Drosophila melanogaster: one gene and its partner. The protein of the gene in region 1 interacts with the protein of each later gene in a pairwise test. Each region holds a gene or a part of one and is shown in the gene's direction. Other genes may lie near its edges. The genes, in order: CG1983 and zyd.

Region 1 (11,534 bases):
AGGTGGGATTACTTAGACTTTGCCGGAATGCAGCTCCACTCGCTTGAAGGCGCCGGGCCTGGAACTCCCGATTCTCCAGCTTCAACCGCTCGAAATGATCATCCGGAAATTGCCGCTTGGTCACTCCGGGATGTCCATTGCTGCTTCTTCGCTGCTTAGATTGCTCCTCATGCCTGCGGCTTTGGGCAGGATTGGATTTCTCGGCAGACCGACGGGATCTGGACTCCCCACCACCGCCACCATCTCTCTGATTGTTTGAAGTGCGACGGTACTCTCCATCTCCGTGGGGATGCGAACTCCTCCTGGATTCCTTCACCTCACCACTGGTTACAGTGGGTAATCTTCGGGACTCGTTGGTGTTGCTGGTTATCTGTTGGATCCTCCGCGATTCTTTCATTTCCCCCCTGGGTAGCCATCTGGATTCAGTGGTATTACTGGTTATTCTCGGAATCCTTCGGGACTCCGTGAGCTCCCCACTGGTTATGTGGTGCAACTTCTTGAAATTGTTGGCGCCACCTGCTTCCTTGGCTGTCCTCCGCGACTCTCCGCTCGTGATGTTGGGCAGTCGCTTGAGTTGGTCTCTGGTCACGTTGGAAAGTCTCCTGGTGTCCACCATTCCGCTGGTAATGGTCGGGGTTTTCACTACATTGGACATCCGCCTGGACTCACCTCCGCCACTGGATCCATGATGAGCCTTCTTGGATGTAGACGGTTGCTCCCTTTCAATATCGGAGTGAACAGATCGCCAGTTGGGTCTCTCTCTTCGGTGCTTCCTATCCGTGTCCTGCGATTCCTGATGTGCCGAGTGTCCTCTTCCACGGGATCCCCTCCTGTTCTCCTCCTCCTGCCTTCTACGATCCGTTTGCAGGCTTGTCGTCCTGAGATTATTCGTTTGTACCATCGGCAGGAGCATCGGCATGTTGATGGTGTTCGGGGGAGTTATCATGCCAGTGGTGTAGTGCTGGCTCCTCGGACGGATCTGGTACTCTCCTGGAGAAATAAACGTTATATATGAGGCTATTTCGTAAGATGTAGTTTAGTTCTAGTTTTAGTTACCAGGCGTCTCCTCAGTGTCTGAAGCAAATGGAGGCAAGTTGGCGGAGGTGCGCACGTTTCGGAACATCTTCATTCCCCTGCGACCGAGATGACTGATTTCTGGGAAGAAGGTGTCCCACTGCGGATGGTTTCGTTAGGAGGGCTCAGTAGCAGTAGTAACACTTGGCTTACCAGGTAGAAAATGCCGTACGCCAGGAGAATGGCCAACATCAGGACGGCCGTGAACTTGGTGAACTGCATCAGAATGAAAACAATCACACCTGCGAGCACCTCTACGTGCGCCACTCCGAGGAGCTCGAAGCAGTGGCGGACCTCGGAGATCCTCATCGTGACCAGGTAGCCCAGCGCGGAGTTCAGTGACTCGCAGGCGCACCTAATAGCGTCAGCCATGGCTGAAGTCGAGGAGTCTGTGTGCGTCCCAGTGAAGGCATTTCTCCCCGGCACAGGGTTTTCGAAAGCTAAAGTGCGGCGAAACTTACTGCCAAAGCAAAGGCAATTGGATTTCGACTTTTTCTTAGCTAAAGCTAAAACTAAATATTTTATTCATATGCCTTAAAAACAATATCCTCTTTGGTGTTAGGCGTTAAATTACTTTTAAAACTCCCCGCCTTCATCTGTATTTTCAAAACTAAAAGTATTTTATTGGTATATTCAGTAAACTCAGGTCACACTGCCGAACAGCTGATCGACTCGAAGGTTTTGTTTTTATTTTTGCAAGGGCTGTTTCTTATCATTGAGTTAACCAATTGTAAGAACAATAACTACTATTTATCTGTACTTATATATAAAGAATATTATTCATCTCGCATTTTTTAGTTAAATGCTAAGACGCACAATGGCGGAATTCGACGTCAAAGCCGGCCTGCAGCACGTGTTGAAGCGCATAGACGAGGTGCTCCTCCAGCGGCCCAAAGTAAGTTAACTTAAGACCCACTTATTAATGACCTCTTAAATGAAAAACTTTATCTCTCGCACAGGAAGTTCAAGCTGCCAGGCCGCTGCTCGTTGCTGTAAGCAAAACAAAGCCAGCGGAGGCCGTAATCGAGGCTTACGAGGGCGGACAAAGAGACTTCGGTGAGAACTATGTACAGGAGCTGGAGGAGAAGAGCCGCCACCCGGACATTCTGGCCAAGTGCCCCGACATCAGGTGGCACTTCATAGGCCACATGCAAAGCAACAAGATCAACAAGGTCAATTGGATAACCAAGATCGGATAACAGCGTTTATCTCTTATCAGCACCTCTCTTTATCTTATTGATCTCATTGTTTATTTAGATCCTTTCTGTGCCAAATCTGCATATGATCCAGACCGTAGATAGCGAGAAGTTGGCCACCAAACTGGACGCAGCCTGGTCTAAGCGACAGCCCACCCCTGAGGAGCCATTGCAGGTGCTCATCCAGATCAACACTAGTGGTGAAGACGGTGAGTCTCACGCCCCCAAACTAGCGACCTTATACTTACTTTCCTAAATCGACCTCTAGTTAAAAGCGGAATAGAGGCGAAAGATGCTCCTGCACTCTACCAGTACATCAAGAGCAACCTTAAACACCTCAACCTGATGGGCATAATGACCATTGGTGCATTTGGTTTTGACTACAGCAATGGACCCAATCCGGATTTCGTGTCCCTAATGCAGGTGCACAGATCCATATGTGAGGCGCACTCCTTGGCCCCGGACTCGGTGCTCGTCTCCATGGGAATGTCCAACGACTTCGACAAGGCGGTAAGCTACAAACCGACTGAGCAAGTTCCGTCTCTAAAATCGAAACTATTCCCTCAGATCGAAATGGGCAGCACAGTGGTGCGCGTTGGCTCTTCTATTTTCGGCCATCGGGCGGCCAAGGTGTAAGAAGGGGAGCGGAGCAGAGATGTGATAGGAATGCGTTGCGGGCACTGAATACAGCCGATTCCCAATGACGTCCGACCTCACGACTGAGCACCTCCAAGTTCGCTCATGTATCAGGTGGAACTGGGTATATTCACACAGACTAACGTAGTAAATCAGCAAATCAAAGATGATTTGGCGTTTAAATTTAGAAACCCTTGAGATAAACAAATGTTATGTGTAGGCTGTTATTTGCCTTATTTAATTGTTAACCCTTTATAAACAATGCTTCCAAAGTGTCAAAACCATTAATATTCCCAGAAACATTCTGCACCTTGGAAAATTGAATACATTTGCCGCAGTTTTCATTAGTTTTAACATTCCTTCGACTGCGTCTTGCTCGTTTTTTGCACTTTGTTCTATTTTTACATTCGCGTATATTCAATGCTACTTTGCGTATTAGATTGTGGGCAGTTTTCCTCTATATCTTCTTGTTTTGGTTGGCCCCAGGCCAAAATGTCGCCTGGTTACGTGCCAAAATGGCTGCGCCATGAGAGTTTTCGCCGAAAATCACTTTCAATGGAGCACGAAGATGACTGCAGCCTAAATCGATTTTCATTATGTCTGATCGATGAATTATGAAGGCTTTCTCGCACGGATCCCATCGTTAATTGAGATATTTTCCGTTTCATAAATTTGCATAGAGCCTTCATTAATTATAATATTAGCCAGCGAGGGTAATGAATTCAGGTGGCAAAGATGACCTCATGTAAATATTGTTTTGAAAAATGTTTTGGCTTATTTCCTTCAGAAAGCAAAAAGTCGAATAATTTGCAGAATGAATATTTCTAAAAAAAATAGATGTAAACTATATGAATAATAATATTTTGTAACACTTGAAACTAAATTGAAATTTCCTGCTTATTTGGAAAACTAAAAATGTGTAAATAAGGCTTTGAGAATCCAATTTGTCGATTGAAGTTGTCACAATTTTACTATTTATTTACTGAAATGGCTTAAATAGCTTGAATACTGCAGTGTTTAATATTTTTAGTAACAAGGTTAATGTATCATGACGTGGTACCCAAAGTTTATCTGAAATGGAAATCCTACAGCCTTCCCATTGTTATGCAATGTCCATGGATGACTAGCATATAGATAAAGTCAGATGTTTATTCCACATTTGTTGCCGAAATAACTCTGGTCCAATATCGGGTTCGTTGGATATTTATGCGACACGAAATCCGCCCGATCGCCGTGTATGTATATACAGATCTATAGATTTGGAATTCTCGGCGCTCTTCATATTGCACAATGTGCGGGGCATTTCGAAAACAGAAAAAGGAACGTAGGCGAGCAAAACATCGAGTATATAGGCGTGAATAGAATACATACATATGCTATATGTTGGCATATATGTATGCTGTCCGCCGCCAAGGAAAATGTAGGTGATTTCAGCGCAAGAGGACACCTTTCGGAGGTGGCCTCTGGCAGAGAGACGCACCGAGTAGTGAAGCAGAGCAAAATAAAAGAAAACAAAACAGAATCCGAGGATGGGGAAATGTATCCACAACAGAGAGCCGCTATATGAACCAATCCGAATCGCCCCGAAATAAATTCCGAACATATGTATAGGCTTCTGCTGCCCAAAAGCCAAAGCCAAAGCAATTTCTCTGCCTTTAAAATTAGATTTTTGATTAGAGCAGCGCCCGATGGATGAGTAAACACCTCGGATACAGCTACACCATAGGCTATAGGCTATAGCCATGGCTATATCTATATAGTTGTAGCTGCCCGCCCCCGCCGATCTCCTGGGCGGACCTCGCCTTGCAGATACTAAAAAAGGCAGCACGAATATTGCAGATACGGATACAGCGAATGGCGCCCGAAGATCCCCGAAGGTGGCCGAACCTCCACGAGCGGCCCCAATGCTTGGAAGAAGAAGAGCTCCTCCGAGCTCTTAAAACATCATTGTCTTGGCGATAAAATCAGCCAGAGATTCAGTGTGCTCTGACGGCTCGACTCGATTAGACAACACATCAAAGTTCAGCACCATGGTAAGGACTCGTCCCGGAATATCACTACAATCCAACTGAACCGAACTGAACCGAACCGAATCGAACTGGACCCCAGTGCCTGGATATATGCAGCAAGGATAATGCCGATCAGTGCAGTGAATCGTTTGCATTCGAGAATGACCCCGAGGATATGAATATGAAGTGAACCATAACTCTAAATCATGGTGATCCCGATTCACCTTCTTCACATACGCAGTGAGAATAGTGCAGAAAGTTCTATAAATGGATCGATCCGATCCGAGTGTTACGCGTCAGTAATGTAATCTGATATCCGTGCCGGGGAGCGAGCGAGACAGCGAGTGGCGCACGGCGGAGAGCTTACGTAATATGCGTCCGGTATATTTTTAGAATGAGTGGAAAACTTTCGCCTGCAGATACATATTTTCTGGCCTAGTCGGGTAGGCCTTTTGAAAAGCATACCTTACATCCCTTAAATCCCTATTAAGGGATAACTTTCTACCCATATAATTCCAATTGAAGATCCTTCAACGCGGATAACTTACTAAGATCCCTAAAACGAATAGTATAACTTCCGGAATCGGAACTTTCAAGTGACAGCTAAAGACGGACTATAACGACTAATGACCGAGTAGATACCCCCTTTCTGCCACGAGTCCCTACTAATAAATCCCTCTTTTCTCTCCTCAGGCCGATGAGAAGAAGAAGGTTAAGAAGAAGAAGACCAAGGAAGAGGGTGGTACTTCCGAAACCGCTTCTGAGGCCGCATCCGAGGCAGCAACCCCGGCACCAGCTGCCACTCCTGCCCCGGCCGCATCTGCCACTGGTTCGAAGAGAGCGTCGGGCGGATCCCGTGGCTCCAGGAAGTCGAAGCGCGCTGGCTCCTCGGTCTTCTCTGTGTTCTCCCAGAAGCAGATCGCCGAGTTCAAGGAGGTGAGTTTTGGGCGTTACTCATATATCGCATCATATGTCGGATCACTCGAGACCCATCCCATCATCCTGTCATCCTACCATCTATCGCACTTGTCAAGGACCAAGTCACCAACACACTCTTTCTTTCTATCTCTCTCTGTCTCTGTGCGGGATCGATAGGCCTTCCAACTCATGGATGCCGACAAGGACGGTATTATTGGCAAGAACGATCTGCGCGCTGCCTTCGACTCCGTCGGCAAGATCGCCAACGACAAGGAGTTGGACGCCATGCTGGGCGAGGCCTCGGGTCCGATCAACTTCACCCAGTTGCTGACCCTGTTCGCCAACCGCATGGCCACCTCCGGTGCCAACGATGAAGACGAAGTTGTTATTGCTGCCTTCAAAACATTCGATAACGATGGTCTCATCGACGGTGACAAATTCCGCGAAATGCTCATGAACTTCGGTGACAAGTTCACCATGAAGGAGGTTGATGATGCCTACGATCAGATGGTGATCGACGACAAGAACCAGATCGATACCGCCGCCCTGATCGAGATGCTCACCGGCAAGGGTGAAGAGGAGGAGGAGGAGGCCGCCTAAGGCACATCCGATCACATCCTAACTTCTAACTCAACATCCATTTTACAGCCAGAATCAGAACGTTAAATCAATCAGTCAAATCAGTAATAATAAACGTAATTAAAAGAAACGCTCGTTTACATATGTAGATTCTCAGTATCTTGTAATCTCTTTTGTTAACCATCACCAAGTACCTTGTACCAAGAACAACACCACCAACCAGATCAGCAACATCCGATCAAACTGAACCTCAAAAGAACTTCTTCAGCAACATTTGGTAGCGATCAGAACCATTTACCATGTATCTGTCCATCATAGTTAGGGATACTTACGATCACGTTCACTGTCACGGCAAGAACTGACGCGTAGTTTTCTAGTTGATTTACTGTTAAATTTTACACGTAAAATTTATAAAACATATGCTATCTATTTTATTTAAAACACCTATAAAATCAACAAAAAAAACTTAAAAACAACAAACAAGCCGTGTCTATTTTTATATCGCTGTCCGTTGAAGAACTAAAGAGAAGAACCCCCAGAGAGAGATGATTACCAGATCGAGATCGAGATCGGAATCGAAATGAGGATGTATGATGTATGATTTATGATGTAGGGAGGACGAAGACGATGTTGATGGGTAGCCGGGCTGTATTCGTTAGCCCTGCACCCGCGAGTTCAATTTGATTATGAATATGAATTTTAGCCAGTTTTGTGAGTTACAATGTTTTTCGTTCAAGAAATCTCGCAGGACCAGGAGAGAGAGAGGTAAACCCATAACAAACTATTGTTAGGGATCATTTAACTGAGAGCCAAATATATATCCTACTATCACAAAATATTTATCGTTATACATATCTATCGTTCGTTACTTACTTATTTATCAGTTATGAGTTATCAATATTATTGCAAGTTATCGAGAGTTAGGCTAATAACAGAGAAACATTAAGTTCATTCACTCAAATTGTTTAATGCGAATTTATATAACTTAACCATCGCCACCACCACAACTTTCTGCTTATGAACTATCAGCGATATAAACCACCCAAACGAACAAACAACCCAAAATGATATCTGAAATATGAAGAAACATTCAAATAACAAACCCAGTGTTTCTAGTTAATGCGTTTTGAAGCTTCCAGGATGATACGCCTCCCCGGGAAATAGACGGTCGGGGGGGTTTTAGTTTGAATAAGGTGCCCATAACCACTAGTACCTAGGCTGATCGGAGGAAGCACAATATATTGCCTTATTTATCTAATACTACTATTACTCAGAACTCAACACTTGACACTCGACACGAGCACACACCACACTCACACGCACACTGCAATCCATTTCAAAGTGCAACATGCAACAAGTTGTTAAATGCAAATCGAATCTTTACTTCAGTATATTTTAAGCTACACACGGCAAGATGAAAAAATTCAGAAAACTTTTAACCCGGTCAGGAATATTAACAAGAGTAAAACAAAAAACATCTAAAAATAGAAAACAAGTAACTGTTTTTATACAACATAACTAGATGATGATACGATGACGAAGTCTTGGAATAAAGCAAAAGAGAGTCGTCTTGAAAAAAAAACACAAAGCCATTGAAGTTTGATTTGCTCAGGGAAGGGGTTTTTTGGGGGTATGTAGTACCTTACTGCATATCTGACTCAGCTGAGCCGTGCCGGAAACCAGTTCCAGGTCAAAACAAAACCACCGATAAAGCTGGGGAGCTGAACGAAGCTGTGGAGCGCAGTGGGAAACTCCCCACACTTGGCCAAGACGATGGCCAAAACCGAACACGAACCTTCGAGCGACCAGTTGTCAGTCGAGTTTCGAGGCGCACGCATGCGCACTACGATGTGAAAGTCAGCCACGCTTGTCATTGCCACATCCATTCCGAACAGCGCTTTTCGAATAATCTGGTTACTCAGGGCGTAAGTAGAACCAGAACCATGGCTCCAGGTGGACGACAGCTTTTGTGGATGGCTTCCATCTGCTGGATTGCATCACTAATGAGTGGAGGTGAGTGCTGGGAATCGATTGCATTGTATGCAGATATTGCGTGGCCAAAGAAATCGAAAGTATCTCAGTTTGAGTCTGGAATATCTCACCACACTCTCGAGTGCACTGCAAGAAAAGTGATATACATTTGGGGCGAACTAAGCCCTTATCCTATGCTGTATACTTTGCTTCGAAAGTAAACTAACCTTTTATTTCCAACACTATATTTTATGCATATAATTATATTATTCATTCATATTTCTCTCTCTGCGCCTATGAGATATCTCACCTTACTAATGAACACTCCACTCTCACTATCGTTTTTGTGCCTCTCAGCTGATGCACAGCATCTGATCGCTTATATCTCGCAAAGAGGTCTTCATGGAGAGATCACTTTTCGGCAAATGAATGCCACCACGGTGGAGATCAAGGCCAACCTGGAGGCCACTTTGCAGTACCCCGACCAAGTATGGAGTTGGGGAGTACGTCGCTTCCCCGTGGACTACTCCAATATTGACCCAGACGAACGCTGCGAACTGAGTCGTTTGGGCTCCCAGGTCCTGTCCTTTGACGAGGACTTGGAGTACCTGGTACTGCCCGGAAATGAGACCTCCAGCTGGGAGCGAAACATGCAGTTGATTGGGGATCGGGGAATCTGGGGGAAGTCCCTGGTTCTGACAGAGGTCAACGCTAATGCACGGATCTGTGCCACCATCACCACCATCCAGAGTTCCGTGGAGCACATGGCAGAGGCTCGTTTTAATACTCCTGTCGCTGGATCTGTCCATTTCCGCTGGCTGGCCCCGGCGGAGGGAGCTGTTGGAGATACTCTAATCTACTCGGATCTTTACCATATTAGGGCGCAACCAGCTGCTCTGGAGGAAGATAGAAGTCAAGCTGGACCGTTCACCCAGCACCACTGGAAGATCTATGTGACGGACATTTTCAAACATGACCACCATCGCACGGAGGACAACTGCAACTTCCTGCAGCAAGTTTTCGATCCCCAAGGAAGTGGAGCTGGCAAGGGAATAGGTGATCTGGACGCACGCCTAGGCAGGATTGGAGTGGCCAAGAATGCCCTTCGTTCGCCACAACGCAGCGTTTTTAGGGATGCTCAGTTGGCCCTGCTGCCCTCGGATCTTACCATTCCCCATAGAACTCTTTACCTGGTTCTTTTTGACAACCAACATCCAGATTCGTACCTCGCGTGCACCAAGATTCGCCATGTCCAACCTTTGACACATAAGTGAGTGGTTTTTACAACCCATTCTATTTGAAAGTATAACCATTTTTTTTTTGTTAACCGCAGAACTTTCATCAACTCTGGTGGTGTCAAGGGAGAGGTTACCTTCATGCAGCGCTCCAAGTTCGACCCAACTTTCCTCAATTTCACCTTGGGAGCACCGCTTTCCCAGCATGTCAGTCGCAAGTTCGCCGAAGATGTGGCCGCCTTTCGGATTCACAGTCTGCCGCCGGTGCCTTCGAGGATGGGTCACGAGGACTACTGCCTGACCACTGGGGACATGCATAATCCCCGGGAGATAAACGAGAATATACCCCCACCCGGTTATGGAACCCAGGAGCAGTATCCCGTGGGCGATCTCTCCGGGAAGCTACAGGGTCGCAATAAAGGTTATTGGCATCAGTATGTCTTACCAGGAACGAGCTCCGAGTTGAATGGCCTCTACTGGGACGTATTTCTGCCCCTTCAAGGACGTTATAGCATTGCCCAAAGAAGTCTGGTCATATACACTTTCAATCGATCTAATGTCACAAATATTACGAAGATGATTTGGGGCTGTTCGAGCCTAAGTCAATATCAACGAAATGGAATCTACCAGCAGAACATGGTTACTGCTCAGGTTGGTAGATAAAATAGTATTTCATGCTAAGTATTTTAATATTTGTGCTTATATCTTAGGTCCTTTTCCGCTATCCTGTGGTGGGTCGAGTCATATTCCGGCAGACGGCGGAGCAGCCTTGGCAGGATACTACCGTTTTATTTGAGTACCTCATCCAGGCGGATGGATCCACGCAGAATACTACCCACGATCATCGTTGGGCAATCCACAGCAATGCACCTGGAAAGGACTTCTATGACTGGCAACAGAGATGCATTTCCGCAGGACCTGTATATAATCCATTCCGAGTGGATTGGGGCAATCGCAGTGTGGATGACTTCTGCCGACCCAGTTTAGCCTCCATGTGCAGAGTGGGTGCTATGGATGCCAGATCGGGAACCCTAACCATCGCTGGAGGCAGAAGAGTTGCCCAGAAAATAAGTAGGAAGATGTTTGTAGACGGCAATCTTCCGCTCTCCGGAAGACATAGTATCCTGGGTAAGTCTCTTGTTATCTATGAGGATAGTGGACCCAAAGCCAGAGGAGAGCGATTGGCTTGTTCGGCCGTGATTGGACATTTCCGGAGGAAAGTGGTGGCCAAGGAGTGGTACGCAAATGGAGATTCGTTGACAGTCAGCGGTCGGGTGGAAATCACCCAGCAATCGGAGTATGATGTCAGCAATGTGGAGGTGCAACTTAAGGGGCTTCAGGATAATACAGGATATTACATCCATAGGGTATTTATTACCAAACCTGTTAATGTACACATTGTGAATCTAAGCTCTCAATTTTAGACACCCGTGGAAGCCAACTTGGCGTTTCCCTGCGAGGCATCCACTCTATATGGTCACTGGAATCCTTTCGACGTCAGTCCAAAGTCATCACCTCCTCCGAAAAGGGGAACCACAGATCAGTACGAGATGGGAGATCTAAGTGGAAAGTTCGGAGGTCTTGAGGGAGTAACCCAGTTCGAGGATGCCTATAACGATACGAATCTTCCACTATTTGGATATAACAGTATCATTGGAAGATCTGTGGTTATTCAGAAGAAGCAAAAGAATGCCCGATGGGCTTGCAGGTGAGATAACCAAAATTAATTGAGATTTTCATTTAATATAAACTATGAAACTATGTATTGTAGTACTCTTGAGCGTGGCTACAGTCCCAGTGAGGCTAGGGAACTGCGAGCCATTGCCTCGTTTCATCATCCCACTGGATACGCCTATGGTTACATTAAGATGACTCAGCTCATCCACAACGATGGTAGCCAGTCGGAGACGGTAATA
Region 2 (10,494 bases), on another chromosome or scaffold:
CATAATAAAAGGTGAACTGAGACTTGTATACATACATGTTTCTTATAAAATCGATTATCTTACAAACGTATATATTTCGTTAAATAATATGTAATATATATGGAAATATGGGTTTACCTATAAATACACATGATTGTGAACGTATAGAAAATATAAATTTTTCGAAACTTAATGATGCTTTCTGAAGTCAGTAGTCCCTTGAAACGTGTAAGAATACCACGTACATCTATTACGTATTAAAACCACAAATGCTTATAACGCACTTATGTGTGCTTAGCACCGGTTCTTAAAAATATTGGAACAATCAATAGATAATCATCTTAAATTATATAATAATCAGATTAACATCGATACCTGAAAAACCTTAGCACAAATTTTATGCAATCCAAAAAGAAAGGAAATGGCTTAGTTTCAGTTTTTTTTACATTGTTTTACTCCCTTGATTCAGGCTCAGAATAAAATAACAATTTAGGAAAAAAAAAAACGAAGAAAACTAATGTCTGTATAGGGTTTCTGGTTCTCACAGCTCTAAAGACAATATCGCATTCCACAGGTTGCCCAATTTTAGAAAGAAATGAGATGCAGGACCGTGTTTCCGAGGTGAAATCGTGTGCGTGTGAGTAAGAAAGTGTTCGTAAGTTCGTGGCAGAGTTTTAGTGTGTTTGTAAGTGCCCCAATTGCCTCTGCTCCGCCGCCATTCACCCACCCACAATTCTACGTGCCATTGTGGACCATTTGGATCTTTAGCGCAAATTGAGCTTACTCTCACCGCCTCACTTAAGCTGATTTGAAAAGAGAACTTAAGCCGAAGTAAAGGAGGAGGGGTCGGTGATCGAAAGGAGAGGAAACGGAATATAAGCAAATAGCGTCGAACAGAAAAGAAAAGAAAGGTGCGGGAGCTGTAAAAGCACGAAAGGAAACAGCAAAGGAAAGGAAAAAAAGAATAGAGAAAATCAACACCATTGAAGTGCGGATTGAGATTGAGATTCAGATTAGGCTTCGGCTTCATACAACGGCGCATCGCAGTTTACGAGTGTCCATCACCACTACAACACCGTGCAGCAATGGAAGACTATTGGGGTCTTAGCAGCACTACGGGTACATAACCACTAACAGAACTAACTAGTGACTAAGCCAAAACTTAGCTAACACTAAGCGTCAAATCGAGTTAAGCTAGCACCACTATTTTCGTCCGACTCAGTGACCCTAACCAATTTATTTACAAATCAAAAACATGAGACAATATTGAGATCGAGAACCACAGATAAGTTTATAATTTACTAAAAAAGTGCCCTTTTAACTAATTGACAAATAACGTTTATTTTATTTTCCGTTGCCTTTAACGTATTGTGCGACGGCGACAAAAAAGATAGAAACAAGTTTAATAAATCAATTAGGCGTCAAATAATTTTAATGCAATGCGATTAAATGGGCTTGTGCGTGCACTGACGTCATAGGCCTCTATATGTATGTACATATGTATGTATCTGCACGATGGCACGCATACACAAATGCATGCACATAAATTTGTACGCCTTAAAATTCCGGGTGTGGGTGTGTATGCATGCGGATCTCTTTATGGCCCGTGAGAGCATGTGTTGTGTCTGAGCGCGTAAACTGTGGCATATGAAGCAATTGTCTAAATTGGCTCATTAAGTGAACCTTAATGACATTTACTATGCATAGTGACAACCAAAACTGTTTCGTTTTTATACCCGTTAGTCGTAGAGTAAAAGGGTATATTAGATTCTTTGAAAAGTAACAGGCAGACTATATAAAGTATATATATTTTTTATCAGGATCAATAGCCGAGTCGATCTAGCCATGTCCGTCTGTATGCTGAATTCCGACGTTCATACGGACAGATTATAGGACAAAGGCGCAGCGCAAGTTTGTTGACCCATGTTGCCACACCCACTCTAACGTCCACAAACCGCTCAATACTGCCACGCCCACATTTTTGAACCATGTTTTTAAATTTTTAGCCACGCTGAATCTAACGCCCGAAAGCCGCCCACACTTTAAAACAATTTTTAAATTTTTTCTCATTTTATTCCCCAATATCTATCGATAGCCCAGAAAAATTATGAAATTCGCGTTCGCATTCGCAATAGCTGAGTAACGGGTATCTGATAGTCGGGGAACTCGACTATAGCATTCTCTCTTGTTATTAATTTTTTTGTTTAGATGTATTTCAAAATCAGTTAATGCCCGCGTATATATTTTATTCCATCCTTTTATTCGCTCAACGTTAATGTGACCAACAAACCATGCATGGCTCGTATGCGCAATGTTCCTCATATAGGTATTTTCACAGAATAACGTAAAAAAAATATACTATTCACTTTTCACTCTTTTTTATTGGTTTGATCATAGAAAACTTAGGTAGAAGGAACCTACTATTAAAAACAGATATAACTTCAACTGGTATCTGGTAGTATTCTGCGCACGTAAGTTCGTATCTGGAAACGCGATTTTATTTTATGCAGTCTATTTTCTAAACAAAGAACGAAGGAATACTTTGTATGTAAAATCTTTTTAGGCCTAAACAGCTGATAATAGCATATTATTCATAAATATGCAGAGGATAGTCGGGGAACTCGGCTATAGGTTTCTCTGTTGTTTTTTTATTATTTCTTTGAAATGGTTGCAAGTGACTCCTTTACTACGTTGCATGCTCTTGAAAGAGACCAATATATATTTGGCCTTTTCGAAGATGAACCGCATCAGATTCAACCTCATTTTTTATTTCTGTCAGAATTATTGGCTTGGGTGCAGGTAAACTCACTTCTAAAAAATATGGAGACAGCACCAAGTAAGACTAACTAACTAAAAATGGGAAAGAATATATACAGACAAAAGCCACAAAGCATGGATCGTTTAGAAAATTTTTCTTTAAACGAAACACAAAAGTCATATTAATACGCATTGTCACACTGATTTCCCTTACTTATGGTCAGATATAAACTTACATATGGGTAGACACATGTTTAGTACAGAGCTTTTTGTGTGGTTTGAAAGGCGATGTGCTTCAAGTCTTTCTATAAAACAATTGTGACAATGATGCGGATACGTAATATGAAGTCTTCCATTTCACATATACTATTATTCTGCTGTGAGTTTGAGTACTTAATAGAAAGCTGAAAATTAAAAAGCGAAAAAATAACGAATTCATGCTGATAAGAGCCAGGAAAATGAGATATTCTTAGTCTGGTAAAATTAGTTGTATGAGTAAACTAGTGAGGTGGGCACATTTAAAATTGTAAATAACTATTATTACAGGTGGAAGGAGTACTTCTTGCAATCTTTATTAAAAATATCTTTACATCAAATTTCTTCCTTGCAAGTATTTACGTACAGATCTTCTCAGAAAAGACCCGTTTCCGATATGACCGGAATTACTAGGAAATTGTGCGAACTAATATTACAACTGTTATATTCGCACAATAATAATAATAATATTTCGTTAAAAAATCCAAGTAAATACTGAAGCAGTTTACTGCTGACATTTGGCAACTGAGACAATATGATCCATTTTGCATTTTTGACAGCGTTCGATTGCTGTGGAAAATAATCAAAAATATTGTTTTTCTGCATGGAAAGCCGATTGCTGAATAAATTCAGAAGATTTTGCTCGCAGATTAATACCTGTAATATACGGTTTGTTTGCCATAATGATTAATTACAATGTGGGTACTGCAAACATTGCTTAAAGTTAACATATTTCGAATAAGCGTATAATGAAGGCTATAGTTGCATAAGAACGAATAAGACTGAGTACCTCTTCTGAATAGCTCCACTCACTTATTTGACTTTTCTAAGATTCACATATTGTAACAAATCCAAAGAGTTCAAAATTGCAGTTATTCGATACGCTTTTACTGTTTATGATTCGCTCATTCAATTATAGTTAACTTAATTTACTGTGATTGAATGTATTTCTGATTGTTAAATTGATTATCATTAACACTCCTCCTCCCTTGTGCTGTGGAGCAGAGCTGGTTCATTCGCTATAACTAGGGAACTCTGTAAATGTTTATTAAGCATCATTGCATTATGCGGGTTGGCGGTTACAAAATGCGTTTGTGTCAATTGACCCCGGGCTCCGACTTTCTGTGTCGCTCAATCTTGCGTGTGAGTCTTCACTTCTATATAGATATGTAGGTATACATTTATGTTTGTGGTATTTCTACGCACCAGGCCTTCATCGACCTAAGGTCCATCGCGCATAAAGATATTTAAAATTGAGAAGAGGAGAAAACCTAACCTACATATTAATCTTACAATTTGTTTATTGTTGATGTCCAAATGTTTGCCTATTTGAATTCGGAGCACTATATTCATAGTCCGAAATTCACCTAATTGCTTATATTAATGCTCCAAGACTAATGGCAATCATTAACCCCGGTGTTAATCGTCAGATCAAACGCTCACAATCTGATGATTTCCGAACCGAACGAAACAAAGCTAATTTTGTTTGATTGGGTCATATACTTGGCTGACTGCTGGCTCTGGGTATTTAATTACACTGTGCTACATTTCTTTAGTTCTGGGGTGAAGTGTATGTGTGTTTTGGTAGTACTTATTTATGCTTGCTTAGCCCTATTTGTGAAATTACAAAATCTTAATGCGCTGAATAGTATAAGTGGGGTATAAGTACATATTGAATGTATAAAAATGGAACAGAAAAAACGTTTATCTTTAAATTGTTGGATTGCTTTGAGATATCAACTTAAGGGGTTATGGTATAAAGATGATAGTGATGCTGAAACTTATTTGCACAAGTCCACAGTTACCATGTTGCAGAGTGCTATTGTACCTACATATTTATGTATATTTGTATTTCGACCTACGGTTACCGCAATATCTTCTCGTATCTACTCTATGTCTCTATCAACTTATGTAGCTCAATCGATTGACATTTTGAGTGGCAAGTGAGTTTAGCTATTGCGTTTAGTTAGCACTTATTTATTTTAATTTGCGGATTGAAGTCTGTATGTTGATGCTTGTTCTCGGCACCGGCTGCCGATTTAGGTACTCTACATGCAAAAAAATTCCACAATCTTATGAACAACCAAAAGGCGCCCTATGTTTAATAAGTATTTAGACGCCCGACTTAGACATTTAAATTTAGGATTGAAATTGATATCTCATTATTACATAAACATTTAAAGTATCGAAGTGTTACAATTATTTGTACATTGAAAAGGTGACAACCATTTTATTCCCTTCTATTCTATGCTAATTATTTTCCAGGCATTAATCTTAAAATAGCAGCCCAAATAATTTTTTAAATAAAAATACATTTTGATTAAATATTTAATATAATAATTGAAATTATTAGACAAAAATTATATAAAAATGTTGGTTTTGATTGATTCAGTATTCAAGAGTCAAATAAGAAACCATGAAATATAATATACAAATGAATTAATAATTTAAATTTAATTTTTGCGAATTATATAGAATTGATTTTACATTTTTTATAAAACTCTAGCAGAAACCCTTTTTATTAAAAAAAAATACGCCCAAGCAGTAATTTACATACTTTTAACGGCCAATGTTTCCTAGATTTCAAGCTAGAGTAACAATAATTTGCATGCAAAGTGCAGAAATAGGAAACTAAATCTACGATTTTTTCCCGTGTTGATATGTTTTTAGTTTTTAGCTGGGGCATAGTTTTCGGTTTCAATTTAAAGCTTCGGATGAGCTTTTATCGGTTTTTTGTTTTGCAATACAATTTGATGACATCAAAGGCGAATTTATCGCTTCCGCTGCCGATCGTTATTTGGATCGGAGGTCCGTCGCATTTTTGATCGATGATCAAATGTATCTATGAGCTACGATGATAAAAAAGCGGGGCTTCGGCTTCTATTTTTGTTTCGGTTCCAGTCCGACTTATGTTCTGGAACCAGCAGATGTATTTGTATCTGTAGCTTACTGCTCGCGTTGCGTCTGTATGAGTATCTGGTGTAATTGTGTCTGTATCTCGTGCAGTTTCCATTTCGGCTTCTGTTTTGAGTTTCGATTCCTGGGGTGTGAGGTACTGGGTGCCACGTTCTGGATTCTGATTGCCAGTCTTATGGTCTTTCTTGCAGCTCTGGTGGTTTAGTTCATTATCAACGCTTGAGACTCCGACTTGTGATACACAAAAATAGAAAGACGAGGCAGTCGGAATAATTCGGCAATTCGGAAGCCCTTGTTCCCTGATCGTCTGAAGCGTTTTTTTGTTCGGTGAAAATTTGTTGCAGTGCAGCATGAAATGTGCGAAAACCAAGTGATTTTTATTCTATTTTGAAGTTGACATAAGGGCCTATGATTTCATTAAAAATTCTCTTTAATGACAAGCCACTTATTTATTGTGAGAATAGCTGCTTATAAACTTTGTCAACTCGAGGTTACATTTTTCCCGCGACGACACGACACTCTATTAAAAAATGAATTTTTTCATAGTCTCCAATTTTTTAATTCGTCAATATAATTTTTTCTATTTAATTTTTTTTTTAACTTTAGACTTTGTTTATTATTATTAAGAAAATCAAACACTTTTGATTAGTTTAAGAAATAATCGGCCATTGCATCTTTGACATAAATAAGTTCTGATGACACGTCTTATGACGATGAAAATGATTTGAAATTTTACTATATAATTACACTACACTCTCGCTTTAACAAATTGCTTACCTACAGACAGAACACTTTTATTGTGTTTAAATTTGCTCAAATGAGGGACAGGCCACACGCAATGGTAGCGCAAAACAAAAGAGAATGCTATAGTCGAGTTCCCCGACTATTAGATATCCGTTACTCAGCTAGTGTGAATTCGGACGCGAAATTTCATAATTTTTGTGGGATATCGGTAGGTATTGGGGAATAAAATGAGAACAAGTTTTAAAATTGTTCAAAAGTGTGACCGTTTTGGCGGCTTCAGGTCGGGCGTTTCAAAAAGATTTTTGGCAAATCAATAGAAAAAAATATGGGCGTGGTAGTTATGTGCGGTTTGTGGGCGTTAGAGTTAGCGTGGCAACATGGGTCAACAAACTTGAGCAGCGTTTTTGTCTCTAGAATCTGTATGCGTAATCTTAACCTTCTAGTTTTTATAGTTCCTGAGACCTCGAAAGTTATACGGACAGACGGACATGGCTAGATCGACTCGGCTATTGATCCTGATAAAGAATATATATACTTTATATAGTCGGAAACGCTTCCTTCTGCCTGTTACATACTTTTCAACGAATCTAGTATACCCTTTTACTCTACGAGTAACGTGTGTAAGAATTAAAGACTTTGAGACAATTGAATGTTTTAATCAAAAGAGCGGGGCCAGTGTAAATGAGAACATTTTATAAAGTGCAGATTATGTAGCCAAAAAATAGTATAAAAAACTATTGCTTAAAATACTCCAGTCGAATGATACTCTCAAAATAAGATTTAAGTAAATTTTGAGAATTATCAGTTAATTGCAGAAATTTTGAAAGATTAACTTATGAAACTCACTTTTAAATAAAGCCCTTTTTCATTTTGATTGATCTTAAGAATCGTAAGATTTTTCTTTAGGCCTCGGATAATCCAAAAAGTTTTAAAGACATTTGGTAACAATACCATAAATTTTCACCAATCTGGAACGACTTATCCTATTTGAACAGGTTTTTGTATTAGCGTATTGATATTAAAACATTAAGGCTAAATTTCCGTTATTTGGAACCATTGGCAGTATGAAACTTTCAACTCTTTTTATACGCTCAGCTATTGGCTCAGCTTAGCTGATAGCTAAGCTAGGTAATATAAGTTAATGCTTTCTTAAGTGTTGAAACTAACCTTCAATAAGTAATCTTTGAATTTCGCATATCTTTCAGATATAAATTGCACTCAGCCCGCCATCGATGACTTCCCCCGAGACCTATTCTCGGAGGCGCAAAGACAGTCTGGTGCTGTTGTACTTCATGTTATAGCCAGTTTATATTTATTTGTAGCCTTAGCCGTAGTGTGTGATGAGTACTTTGTGCCAGCAGTTGAGAAAATATGTGCAGGTAGTTATTCTTAAATCCACTTTGAATATTAGCGTACTATCACTTTCAACTAATCTAGCACTCAACATGTCCAATGATGTGGCGGGTGCCACTTTCATGGCCGCGGCCACCTCCGCCCCAGAATTATTTGTCAACGTGATAGGAACCTTTATCACGGAGGGCGACATCGGAGTGGGCACGATTGTCGGATCGGCGGTATTTAACATCCTGGCAGTGGCCGCGTGCTGCGGAATCGGAGCTGGCATGGCAAGTCTATTTCGTATAATCAGCTATTTCCTAATCCTCGTGAAATGCAAATTTCAGACAATACCCTTGGACTGGTGGCCACTGACGCGGGACAGCATCGCATACGGAGTTACAGTGGCCATTCTCATTTGTGTTATGCACGACGAGCGCGTCGAGTGGTATGAGGCCCTCATCCTGGTCTCCCTGTATGCCGTCTATCTTGCGGTCATGTATTTCGACAAAACTTTCCAAAAGTGCGCCAAAGGTGAGTGATATCCTTGCGGCACTTTTGTTCCAAAATGTCAGCTTTGGCTCACAAAGGTTACAAAAAAAAAGTATTGGCGTAACAAAGAAGAAATAGTTTTAAGCCAATATCAATCGACTTCTCATTAGTCGGAAATATAATGTCAATTTGCTTTATTATAGAACAAACTATAGTTCTTATACTTTTTACGCAAGTTACTCATAGAATATATGGTATGATAAAATTCGATGAATACTATACTACGTAATAGGGGGGAACGAAAGGAAAACGCTACCCAATAAACTATATATACTGTCGAATCGGATCACTAGCAGCCAAGCCAATCAAGCCATGTTTTACATTTTTTATTTCTCGATTTTTGTCACGCCCATGTTGATCGATATGCGGAAAATCCTTTTTGACCATACCCATTCTATCGCATGCATATTACCAAACCATTTATATAACAAATTTGGAAAAAAATTAATGAAAGAAAAGTAATGCTACAAGGAGTCTGTAGTACATTTTGATTTTTTGTTTAAATTAAACATTTATTCGTTTCCAAAAACAATGACTTTTTAAATAAATATGACTAGTATTAAATAATTAAACCAAAATCTCTTTTAAATTGGGCGTGACAGCTTCTTGCCTTTTGAAGGCGTTAGAGTCAAATCAAATAACTTGCCGTAAAAGTTTTGCCAAAATATTTTTGCGCACCGATGAAAATTGACAAGACAAAAAAAAAAAACAAAAAAGAAAATTATAAAATTGTGTGAAAGTAACGGTTTGTGGCTGTTAGTGTTGTTTTTACTACAATAGAACCCGCACTCCCTATCTACAACTTCTACCTTTTTTAGTTCCCGAGATCCGAGCGTTGATACGGACAGACAGACGGACACATGAACACTTCCAGATTGACGGCTAGTGATCTTGATCACGAGCATATACATCAACTTTATACGGTCTGAAACGCTTCCGCAACCTGTTGCATAATATTCTATGAATCTACCTTAACCTTTTAAAACAAAAGATACCACTATGGTGGACTTCTCCGACTATTGCGTTCCCGTTACTCAGCTAAAAGGGAGTGCAAGGAAACGAAGTGACAATTTTTTGAAATTGACATACTTAAATTCGGAAAGTTCCAAATATTAAAGTTTATACACGCGTACAGACGGACATGGTCAGATTGGCTCGGCTGATGATCCTAGCTCAAGGGTCGGAACACCATCAATATTAGATACCCGTTACATCGCTTAACAATTTGAAGGTAAATACTTGTCTAGATGTACATACATAGATATTTAGCATAATATTCACTCTGCATCTAGTAAAGTGATTTCAATCTGAAAAGTATACCCCTAGTGTACTACTGAATTGAAAGTATGTAACATAAACATATATCGGGAACTATACAAGGTAGATATTTAAGTCTTTAATTTGAGTACCGACCGTATTACAATTTTTAGCTACTCCAACTCCAATTCCCACAAAATGGAACTATAACCACAATAATGCAGATTCTAGAGATAAAGAATTTTTGCAAGTCTCGGAATAAAGCATAAAGTCTTGTTTTATGATAATTAATTAACTATGTTAGTACGTAAAGAGGCTTGTCTTTTTGGCTTTTCTCCAGATACAAGTTATATATATATACGCAATACCTTACTTTCGCAACACTACACAGGTGGCGTTAAGCAGGCTCGTTCTCGCAGCCGGTCCTCCAACTGCAGCATACATACAAAGAACAGCAATGAGAAGGAACCAGGTACACACGACACCACCATTTCCAACTTTACACTAGCCAATACTGCCCACCTCTTATTCCTAATGTCCGACCCTCAACCTCTCTCCCACGGACCCGCTTTCAGAGCACAACTAATAGCTGATATTAATGTTCTCTACTGCCGCAGAGCTTGTGGAAAACCGCATTTGCCAGAACATGGCGAACATACAGCTAAACGGAGGACTTAACAAAGAGCAGGCCAAGGCCAC

The links.
Region 2: the proteins of CG1983 (region 1) and zyd interact in a two-hybrid assay, tested with the Drosophila melanogaster proteins (one large-scale study listed by BioGRID).

The regions. Positions count from the first base shown.
Region 1 is NT_033777.3:30,167,889-30,179,422, reverse strand, and holds CG1983 (uncharacterized protein), read left to right. Parts: upstream 1-1,722; 5' UTR 1,723-1,804; intron 1,805-1,872; 5' UTR 1,873-1,876; coding exon 1,877-1,969; intron 1,970-2,033; coding exon 2,034-2,246; intron 2,247-2,331; coding exon 2,332-2,479; intron 2,480-2,538; coding exon 2,539-2,780; intron 2,781-2,837; coding exon 2,838-2,906; 3' UTR 2,907-3,637; downstream 3,638-11,534. Other genes in the region: CG15530 (uncharacterized protein), read right to left, coding at 1-990, 1,057-1,174, 1,228-1,446; Mlc2 (myosin light chain 2), read left to right, coding at 4,937-4,939, 5,609-5,851, 6,011-6,433; Rsod (uncharacterized protein), read left to right, coding at 8,356-8,425, 8,741-9,653, 9,717-10,269, 10,329-10,985, 11,043-11,326, 11,390-11,534.
Region 2 is NC_004354.4:23,022,334-23,032,827, forward strand, and holds the start of zyd (zydeco), read left to right. Parts: upstream 1-3,033; 5' UTR 3,034-3,060; coding exon 3,061-3,115; intron 3,116-6,104; exon of another isoform or gene 6,105-6,257; coding exon of another isoform or gene 6,258-6,264; exon of another isoform or gene 6,265-6,277; intron 6,278-6,690; exon of another isoform or gene 6,691-6,859; intron 6,860-7,856; coding exon 7,857-8,030; intron 8,031-8,088; coding exon 8,089-8,276; intron 8,277-8,333; coding exon 8,334-8,520; intron 8,521-10,186; coding exon 10,187-10,267; intron 10,268-10,412; coding exon 10,413-10,494.